Linked DNA regions of Xenopus tropicalis. Each later gene encodes a partner of the first gene's protein in a complex. Links are inferred from orthologs where the notes say so. Each region holds a gene or a part of one and is shown on either strand. Other genes may lie near its edges. The genes, in order: ppil2, cwc15 and crnkl1.

Region 1 (3,659 bases):
TATTTACCCATTATAGATTCGGGGGGATGTGTATTTTCCAAAAATATATGGCTTTCTGGGGTGAATGTACTTTTTTTGTAGCATTATCCCACATAAAGGATGTAAATGTGTTGATTTTGCAGGAGCTGAAATGATAGATCATATGGGGGTATGTTCCCATTCGGGCCCCTACATGCCACATACTTGGGTAAACCTATACATATTGGGCATCAAACTGTTCAGTGGACCCCTGGTGTTCAAATTCAGGGTGTTTTATCTTGGTACCTAATGCTATGTGGGAGATAAGATGCTGCAAAGTGGAAGCTTTGAGGGGATTTTTGGAAATGTCATCAAAATTGCTAACTTTAGAAAAGCTGTGCGGCTTGGTACTTTGGAGTAGAAAGACATGGGTACCCATTTTAGATTCGGGGGAATGTGTACTTTCCAAAAATATATGACTTTCTGGGGTGAGCATACTTTTTACTTGCTTTATCCCACATATAATGATGTAAATGTGTTGATTTTGCAGAAGCTGAAATGACAGAAATGACAGTTCATATGGGGGTATGTTCACATTGGGGCCCCTACATGCCACATACTTAGGTAAACCTATACATATTGGGCATCAAACTGTTCAGTGGACCCCTGGCGTTCAAATTCAGGGTGTTTTATCTTGGTACCTAATGCTATGTGGGAGATAAGATGCTTCAAAGTGGAAGCTTTGAGGGGATTTTTGGAAATGTCATCAAAATTGCTAACTTTAGAAAAGCTGTGCGGCTTGGTACTTTGGAGTAGAAAGACATGGGTACCCATTTTAGATTCGGGGGAATGTGTACTTTCCAAAAATATATGACTTTCTGGGGTGAGCATACTTTTTACTAGCTTTATCCCACATATAATGATGTAAATGTGTTGATTTTGCAGAAGCTGAAATGACAGAAATGACAGTTCATATGGGGTATGTTCACATTGGGGCCCCTACATGCCACATACTTAGGTAAACCTATACATATTGGGCATCAAACTGTTCAGTGGACCCCAGGCATTCATATTTAGGGTGTTTTATTTGGTTACTTTATGACCTGTAGGAGATAAGATACTATAGACTGGAAGCTTTGAAGCAATTTTTAAAAAAAAAATCACAAATTTTGATAAAAACCAATAACTTTAGGAAAGCATTGCGACTTGATAGTTTGGAGTAGACAGACAGTTGTGCCTATTCTGTATTCCCCAGAATCTGTTCTTTCCAAAAATGTACAATTTTCTGGGATAAACCTTCTGTTAGTGGAATTTTGGCCTTGAAATCCAAAGTATGCAGTTTTTTTGGAGCAGTGCTTTGGGAATTTGGTAGTGTACTGCTGGGAGTTTTTGACCTATACAAGTGAGAAATCTCCATAAAACTATATATATTTGGTATTGGCACGTTCAGGAGACATGGGACTTTCCAAATCAGTTGTATATTTGTGCATAAAATAATTTTTGTTTCTAGTATGTGTGATTATATTATGGAAAATTTGATTTTTTTTGCATTTTTAGACATTTAGAAGCCTATATCTTGTTACAGAATTGGAATTACACAAAAATTCTACCATATTTTGAAAGCTTAGGTTGTTCTGAAAAAAACGATATATTGTTTTCCTTGGTAAACTAAAAGTCCCCCCGAGGAAAGGCCCCTAAAGTGAAACAGTGCAAAATGTTCAAAAACTGTCTGGCAATACAAGTTCCGCTTTGACCAAAATGGCTGGCAGTAAAAGGGTTAAAGGAAAAAAAAAACCTACCGACAACAGCAAAGTGAAGGGACCTTTCAAAGTAAGATATCCCTAATTTAAAGGAGCACTGCCCAAGCTTTCAGTTTATGGCACATATATGTATATTGCAAAGTCCTTTAGCAACACAACCTTGCTTGTCAGTGCCTTGCACTGCTTGGAGACCCTACTGCACCATGGGGAGATTTTAGTCTCTTAATGTATTATAGTGAAGAACAAGATACCTCTATATTTTTGTTGTTGTGAAAACTGTTCTGCATAAAAGCCTGGAATGTCCCAGCAGCCTCAAGGAAACTGGCTGCTCACAAGCAGTTTATCATTTATTGATATAGCGCCAGCAAGTTACCAAAGGCTTTATACTGATTTATAATGCACAGGGATCTTACAGTCATTTAATAAACATGGGTTACAGAGTAAAAAAAAAAAAAAAAAAAAATCAGAGGGCCCATCCTATCTTGTGCTACACCCAATAAATGGCTACTGACAACTTACACCCAACAGTTTTTTTTTTTAATGATCTTTTTGAACTTTATTTATACTAAATTCCAATTAATTTCCACTAATTTAATATGGCATATAAAGAAATTACAGGTTTTGATCGCCATTTTTAGTATTCTGTTTTACATATAAAGAAAAAAAAGAAAAAACATACTTTTTATGAATCTTTGTCATTTAAGTAACATATAAGTAACACTGGAGGCAAGACAGCAATTTTGAATTACCTTGTCACAATACAACTCCAAGTTGAGGTCACCTTTATTAGTGTGCAAGCGAACATAACCTTTCTTCTTTACATATTGATAACGCACGGTGTCTTCAGCAATAGCAGCTGTAAGAATGAAGTAATTTTAATTATTATTGGTACAGACCTGGGTACACCAAGAGATCTGTGTATGATCTGTGAGCCAATTTTAGTGTTTTGTGATATAGACTCAAGCACGACTTCACCCCATACAATTATATTTCTTGTACCAACACCCCCACAAAGAATGTCCTCTGCTTTCCTCTACTCCCTGAGGATATGCCTATTTACTATGGCTTAACATCTGCCAATCAATCAGAATGCTCTGCACATTCATCTTTATTCAGAGTCCAGTTTGTATCTGCCAACTATTTTCCTGATAAAGTATACTACAATACACACACAATAAATCTGTGACATCTTACCAGCTTCATGAGTAGTCTCAGGAGTCATTGCTGTGGAGGTGAAGGATGCACTCACAGCTCCCGTAGAATAATGAGCCTGGTAAAAAAGATGAATCATTTAGATTACAAAGGGTCTGTTATCAACTGTTGTTATCCAACCACCTACACTAATATTAAGACATTCCTTAGCTGCTCAAAATATTACAATAGAAATGATATAAATGCTAAGTGGTTAGTTGAGAAACAGCTTGGAGTCAGAGAACTGAGTGAGCAAAGACAGTCTAAAACAGTGACAGAAAGCACACCCTGCAGGAATATGTAGGGAAAAAAAAGAGATAAACTGATAGATAAATGTATACACACTGCATTGAGTTTATCTGTTGTTTTTTTCTCCGGGCCTTTCATAGTGGCTGCCAACATTTCATCCCCTTTAAAGTCTCTGTAAAGCTCACTCAGAGTTTCCCGAGTTTCCATGTTTGCATTTTTCAGGTAATATGATGGGTCCTGACGTGCCTTTTCCTCATCTGAAAAACAACAAGTAAATTTACAAAGATATCTTTTTGACTGAATACATTTTTACTTCTTACGTGCATGCTGGACCAGTTTTAAACAAGAAATTGCTGTTCACAGCGACCATTGAGAAACACAGAGGATACGAGTCCTTGCATATCCTTATATTCATATAAGTAATAAAAACTAGCATCTGGATAAAGTGTGTGTCTGTAAATATATATTTAAAAAAAATAAATTTGTATGAATAGTAAACTA
Region 2 (2,900 bases), on another chromosome or scaffold:
TATATACAGTATAGTGTGCCATTTATAGTCTATATATACAGTATAGCGTGACATTTATAGTCTATATATACAGTATAGCGTGCCATTTATATTCTATATATACAGTATAGCGTGACATTTATAGTCTATATATACAGTATAGTGTGACATTTATATTCTATATATACAGTATAGCGTGACATTTATAGTCTATATATACAGTGTAGCGTGCCATTTATAGTCTATATATACAGTATAGCGTGACATTTATAGTCTATATATACAGTATAGCGTGCCATTTATAGTCTATATATACAGTATAGCGTGCCATTTATAGTCTATATATACAGTATAGTGTGCCATTTATAGTCTATATATACAGTATAGTGTGACATTTTTATTCTATATATACAGTATAGTGTGACATTTATATTCTATATATACAGTATAGTGTGACATTTATACTCTGTATATACAGTATAGTGTGACATTTATATTCTGTATATATATATATATATATATATATATATATATACAGTATAGTGTGACATTTATATTCTATATATACAGTATAGTGTGACATTTATATTCTATATATACAGTATAGTGTGACATTTATATTCTATATATACAGTATAGTGTGACATTTATATTCTATATATACAGTATAGTGTGACATTTATATTCTATATATACAGTATAGTGTGACATTTATATTCTATATATACAGTATAGTGTGACATTTATACTCTGTATATACAGTATAGTGTGACATTTATACTCTGTATATACAGTATAGTGTGACATTTATATTCTATATATATATATATATATATATATATATATACAGTATAGTGTGACCGTTATACTCTATATATACAGTATAGTGTGACATTTATATTCTATATATACAGTATAGTGTGACATTTATATTCTATATATACAGTGTAGCGTGCCATTTATATTCTATATATACAGTATAGTGTGCCATTTATATTCTATATATACAGTATAGTGTGACATTTATATTCTATATATACAGTATAGTGTGCCATTTATACTCTATATATACAGTATAGTGTGCCATTTATACTCTATATATACAGTATAGTGTGCCATTTATACTCTATATATACAGTATAGTGTGCCATTTATACTCTATATATACAGTATAGCGTGCCATTTATAGTCTATATATACAGTATAGCGTGCCATTTATAGTCTATATATACAGTATAGCGTGCCATTTATAGTCTATATATACAGTATAGCGTGCCATTTATAGTCTATATATACAGTATAGCGTGACATTTATAGTCTATATATACAGTATAGTGTGACATTTATAGTCTATATATACAGTATAGCGTGACATTTATAGTCTATATATACAGTGTAGCGTGCCATTTATAGTCTATATATACAGTATAGCGTGCCATTTATAGTCTATATATACAGTATAGCGTGACATTTATAGTCTATATATACAGTATAGTGTGACATTTATAGTCTATATATACAGTATAGCGTGACATTTATAGTCTATATATACAGTGTAGCGTGCCATTTATAGTCTATATATACAGTATAGCGTGACATTTATAGTCTATATATACAGTATAGCGTGCCATTTATAGTCTATATATACAGTATAGCGTGACATTTATAGTCTATATATACAGTATAGTGTGACATTTATAGTCTATATATACAGGATAGCGTGACATTTATATTCCATATATACCGTGTAGCGTGACATTTATATTCTATATATACAGTGTAGTGTGACATTTATACTCTATATATACAGTATATAGTGCGAGTGGGCCCCTAAGCTCAGGTAAGTGACAGCAGCACAGAGTGTGGGGAGGGAATCAGCAGAAAAGGAGATGGGGGGGTAATGGGGCATCTTTGGGGGCACAGACCTTCCCTGCTAAAGGGCTGTGGGTGCTTTGAGTGCAACACAAGCCAAGCATATTGAGCCTCATTAGTTGAGTGTCAGTTCTCCTTAAATATTCCTGCTTACAAACGGCACTAACATGGGTCTCCCTTCTGTCTCAGGTGGGACGACGACGTTGTATTTAAGAACTGCGCCAAGGGAGTCGATGAAATGAAAAAGGACAAGAGATTTGTGAATGACACTTTACGTTCTGAATTCCACAAAAAGTTTATGGAAAAATACATCAAGTAGTACAGTTTTATGTGCTCCATTCTGGAGGTGGTTCCTTTAATGGCTGTCGGACTTTAGAAGGCCATGTCTTTGCGCTGAGTTGCGCAGCACCCGCCTCATCGTGCTCAGCGACATCACGCTTCTTAATTGCTTGTCTTTGTGTGCTCATCAATAAATAAATTCCATTTGTTTTCTACTTCTATGTTTCCGTAGTTCTGTTTCTTCTGTTTTGGTTCTGAATGTTGGATAAAAGCACCGCTCTGCCAGGAACAGGTTGGCATTAGTTACAGTGGGTTTCAGTGATTATGTATTCTGCTGTGGCCCCTTTGCATTCCCAGCACCCTAATCCCACTTATATTAGAGCATCCCATGCAATTGCCCACTCACGTGCTGAAGATTGTTGTATACGCCACTAGTCTTGCATGTTAGCAGGGTAGCACCCCACGGAGCAGGTTAGTTGGTTTGCATGCACTGTGCTATAAAGGGGTTGTTCACCTTTGAGTTAACTTTTAGTATGATGTAGAGAGTAATATTCTTTGACAATTTACAATTGGTCTTCATATTTTATTATTTGTAGTTTTTTCATTATTTCAATCATTGTTCAGGAACGCGCTCCAGTTTGGAGTTGTAACAGCTACCTGGTTGCTAGGGTCCAAATTAGCTTAGCAACCAGGGAGTGGCTCGAATGAGAGACTGCTATATGACTAGGAGAGGGACTGAATAGAAATAAAAGCTATATAAAGGAACAATA
Region 3 (4,424 bases), on another chromosome or scaffold:
GTATTTATTGAATTGAGACATCAATTCATTTATGAATGAGACATCATCATGGACACAGGCAGCAGTGAATATCTCAATAATATCCTTAAAAAAAACATTTAGATTACTCTCTGGAAGTTCCGATAGTGTTCATGCATTGTTTTCTAAATTTTTCTGTATGTAATCATGTAAAAAATGTTAACAAAATGTATTTTTATACAACTTTTAGAATCATATCCCCAAAACCTTACTTGCAGCAGGCATCTGTACATTTCCTGCATTTCAGCATTTTGCACTGTAGGATGCCAGCCAATCTGCAGCTCAGCAATCATAACACAGAACTACAGATTAAACATAAACTTCCATGCTGCAGAGAGGACCTGACAGCATCTGTATAAAATGCACCCTACTGCTGCAAATGCTGTCCCATGGTAAATGAGTTTTAGCCACGGCTGAAAGCATTACCTTCCTTTTCCTTAGTTTGTAATCATTAAGCTCTTCCTCATCTGTGATCTTCTGTTTAGGAGGTGGAGGCAGAAGCTCAAGTTCCCTCTCTTTGGCCTCTCTCAGCAGCTGCTCGGCTGTAATCTGCACCTCTGCCGGCGCTTTGTTTTTAACCTTCAGTGGAACAAGAACACAAAGTCAGTTAGGGAAAAAGGAATATTTCTGGTAGAATAGCAGGTTGACTGTTGGAACGCAAGATGCTAGTTCCAGTTCAGAAACAGGTGCACATTTGTGGGTTCAGCCTTGATACCAACATTTCAGAAGACAAATGTGAGGGGGCTACAAGGATGGCACAGCTATGAATGAGGGGGCTACAAGGATGGCACAGCTATGAATGAGGGGGCTACAAGGATGGCACATCTATGAATGAGGGGGCTACACGGATGGCACATCTATGAATGAGGGGGCTACAAGGATGGCACAGCTATGAATGAGGGGGCTACAAGGATGGCACAGCTATGAATGAGGGGGGCTACAAGGATGGCACAGCTATGAATGAGGGGGGCTACAAGGATGGCACAGCTATGAATGAGGGGGGCTACAAGGATGGCACAGCTATGAATGAGGGGGCTACAAGGATGGCACAGCTATGAATGAGGGGGGCTACAAGGATGGCACAGCTATGAATGAGGGGGGCTACAAGGATGGCACAGCTATGAATGAGGGGGGCTACAAGGATGGCACAGCTATGAATGAGGGGGGCTACAAGGATGGCACAGCTATGAATGAGGGGGGCTACAAGGATGGCACAGCTATGAATGAGGGGGGCTACAAGGATGGCACAGCTATGAATGAGGGGGGCTACAAGGATGGCACAGCTATGAATGAGGGGGGCTACAAGGATGGCACAGCTATGAATGAGGGGGGCTACAAGGATGGCACAGCTATGAATGAGGGGGGCTACAAGGATGGCACAGCTATGAATGAGGGGGGCTACAAGGATGGCACAGCTATGAATGAGGGGGGCTACAAGGATGGCACAGCTATGAATGAGGGGGGCTACAAGGATGGCACAGCTATGAATGAGGGGGGCTACAAGGATGGCACAGCTATGAATGAGGGGGGCTACAAGGATGGCACAGCTATGAATGAGGGGGGCTACAAGGATGGCACAGCTATGAATGAGGGGGGCTACAAGGATGGCACAGCTATGAATGAGGGGGGCTACAAGGATGGCACAGCTATGAATGAGGGGGAGGGCCTAGGGGGCTACAAGGATGGCACAGCTATGAATGAGGGGGGCTACAAGGATGGCACAGCTATGAATGAGGGGGGCTACAAGGATGGCACAGCTATGAATGAGGGGGGCTACAAGGATGGCACAGCTATGAATGAGGGGGGCTACAAGGATGGCACAGCTATGAATGAGGGGGGCTACAAGGATGGCACAGCTATGAATGAGGGGGGCTACAAGGATGGCACAGCTATGAATGAGGGGGGCTACAAGGATGGCACAGCTATGAATGAGGGGGGCTACAAGGATGGCACAGCTATGAATGAGGGGGGCTACAAGGATGGCACAGCTATGAATGAGGGGGGCTACAAGGATGGCACAGCTATGAATGAGGGGGGCTACAAGGATGGCACAGCTATGAATGAGGGGGCTACAAGGATGGCACAGCTATGAATGAGGGGGGCTACAAGGATGGCACAGCTATGAATGAGGGGGGCTACAAGGATGGCACAGCTATGAATGAGGGGGGCTACAAGGATGGCAGCTATGAGGGGGGCTACAAGGATGGCACAGCTATGAATGAGGGGGGCTACAAGGATGGCACAGCTATGAATGAGGGGGCTACAAGGATGGCACAGCTATGAATGAGGGGGCTACAAGGATGGCACAGCTATGAATGAGGGGGCTACAAGGATGGCACAGCTATGAATGAGGGGGCTACAAGGATGGCACAGCTATGAATGAGGGGGCTACAAGGATGGCACAGCTATGAATGAGGGGGCTACAAGGATGGCACAGCTATGAATGAGGGGGCTACAAGGATGGCACAGCTATGAATGAGGGGGGCTACAAGGATGGCACAGCTATGAATGAGGGGGCTACAATGATGGCACAGCTATGAATGAGGGGGCTACAATGATGGCACAGCTATGAATGAGGGGGCTACAAGGATGGCACAGCTATGAATGAGGGGGCTACAAGGATGGCACAGCTATGAATGAGGGGGCTACAAGGATGGCACAGCTATGAATGAGGGGGCTACAAGGATGGCACAGCTATGAATACTAATTCTCCTGGGTTCTACTCGCTACCCATCAACCACAGCGTTCGTATTATCGCTAAATGTAAGACAACTCCATCAGCAAGTCATACAAACCCCCGTACAGACCTTCTGCTAAGAATCTATCCCAACTTTATTACCTTGGCCACTTTTGGAATTCGCTGCTTCCCCGCCGCTGTGGACGCCATGTTTCCTCACGTCTGCAACACAACCTGACAGGAAACACCAAGACGGGGCGTAATGACGTAGCGTTGGTTTTACGTGCTACGTAATAGTCTCCGTAGGACTTTTGCTGGTTTCGGTGACCGCCCCTGATGAATGTCACGCCCAGTCCCGTGTCCATAGCAACCGAGTATCGCGTCCTGATCCTGAGCGAATGCCTTACAGCTGCTGCCTGCACAAGTGACCGAACCCACTGAGCTTCCTGACAGGTAACAGGGAAGCTGCATATCGTGCTGTATAACCTTGGATTTAGCATGAATAGTGAAAATAACATGTATGGGTCTGGAACCCACAGCCGGCCTTGCGTGACCACTGTGCGCCGCTAAGCATTGGGCAAAGAGCCCCTCGGCGCTAACTGCTGATTGGGTGCTAGGGTTTCTGCACTGGCGCAAAGTTCAGCACCAACTAGTATGTTAGTAAATGAACACTATCTGTAAATGCTGATATTAATTATTTATGCATTGTGTCCGCCTGTTCTGTCTTTGTTATTGAAAATGGAACCTGCACATATTATGAACATTTGCCTTTGAGTAAATACAGTTTAGCCCAATGAAACACGTTAAGGTTCTGGAACTCTCTACAATTTGATATACTTTTCTGTTATAGTCTTTTAAAATACACTTTGACGTGTTCTGGGGTGCTGACTCCTAAGGGCTTTCATTATTTGTATTATTTCACCTGCACCTTCATGATCTGAGAGCCAAGACCTTACCTGAGCAGACATTAGCTTGTGTGCTATGGATCATGAGTTAAGTATATTGAAATGTGCATTTAAAGAAAGGGTACTAGGGAGGACCAAAACGTCACGTTGGCTGTATATGTACATTTAAATATACTTTTTTGATTTGCACAGAAATCCCAGTGTTGCTGGTCTTTTTTGTATGTGTTATGTTTTTACCATGCACCTGGGTATATAATTAAAGCCATGTGCCACCCCTCTGGTAATATATATATATATATATATAATAGAAAGAATGCCACACACACAGGGGTTTGATGCAAAAGAAAAAAATGTTTTTATTGAAAAAATTCCATATATATATATGGAAACAGGAGCTGCCGGCAGTCACATTTAAGGAAGCTTGTTATGCCTGGATGCAGTCTTCAAGTAGTAGCGAATAAGGGAAAATTGGAAGCCACTCATGCAGGTCTTAAGCTGGCCATACACGTGGCGATCTAACGATGTTTCGTGCGACACATCGTCAGATCCGCCACACACAGTCAGGGCTGAAACAGCAGATAAGGAGGTAGAAACAATAGGATTTCTACCTCCTTCTGCCGATTCAGCCCTGACGGCAGATTTTGGTCAGGCGCCTTCTATGGCGCCCGATCAAAATTTTCTAACCTGGCCGATCGGCGAGTCGTCTGATATCAGCAGCTTCCTGCGATATCGGTCGACTCGCCGACATGCCATACACGCACCGAATATCGTACGAAACAAGGTTTCGTACGATAGTATCGGTGCGTGTATGGCCAGCTTTATGA

The links.
Region 2: ppil2 (region 1) and cwc15 share a complex: the UniProt entries of both Homo sapiens proteins name them as parts of the minor spliceosome. The link is inferred for Xenopus tropicalis from reciprocal best matches to the Homo sapiens genes PPIL2 and CWC15.
Region 3: ppil2 (region 1) and crnkl1 share a complex: the UniProt entries of both Homo sapiens proteins name them as parts of the minor spliceosome. The link is inferred for Xenopus tropicalis from reciprocal best matches to the Homo sapiens genes PPIL2 and CRNKL1.

What each region holds. Positions count from the first base shown.
Region 1 is NC_030677.2:154,131,778-154,135,436, forward strand, and holds part of ppil2 (peptidyl-prolyl cis-trans isomerase-like 2), read right to left. Parts: intron 3,416-3,659; coding exon 3,255-3,415; intron 2,989-3,254; coding exon 2,913-2,988; intron 2,575-2,912; coding exon 2,468-2,574; intron 1-2,467. UniProt on the Homo sapiens protein: Has a ubiquitin-protein ligase activity acting as an E3 ubiquitin protein ligase or as an ubiquitin-ubiquitin ligase promoting elongation of ubiquitin chains on substrates.
Region 2 is NC_030678.2:164,525,106-164,528,005, reverse strand, and holds the end of cwc15 (protein CWC15 homolog), read left to right. Parts: intron 1-2,040; coding exon 2,041-2,170; 3' UTR 2,171-2,345; downstream 2,346-2,900. UniProt on the Homo sapiens protein: Involved in pre-mRNA splicing as component of the spliceosome. Component of the PRP19-CDC5L complex that forms an integral part of the spliceosome and is required for activating pre-mRNA splicing.
Region 3 is NC_030681.2:36,926,169-36,930,592, reverse strand, and holds the start of crnkl1 (crooked neck-like protein 1), read right to left. Parts: upstream 2,935-4,424; 5' UTR 2,906-2,934; coding exon 2,858-2,905; intron 598-2,857; coding exon 445-597; intron 1-444. UniProt on the Homo sapiens protein: Involved in pre-mRNA splicing process. As a component of the minor spliceosome, involved in the splicing of U12-type introns in pre-mRNAs.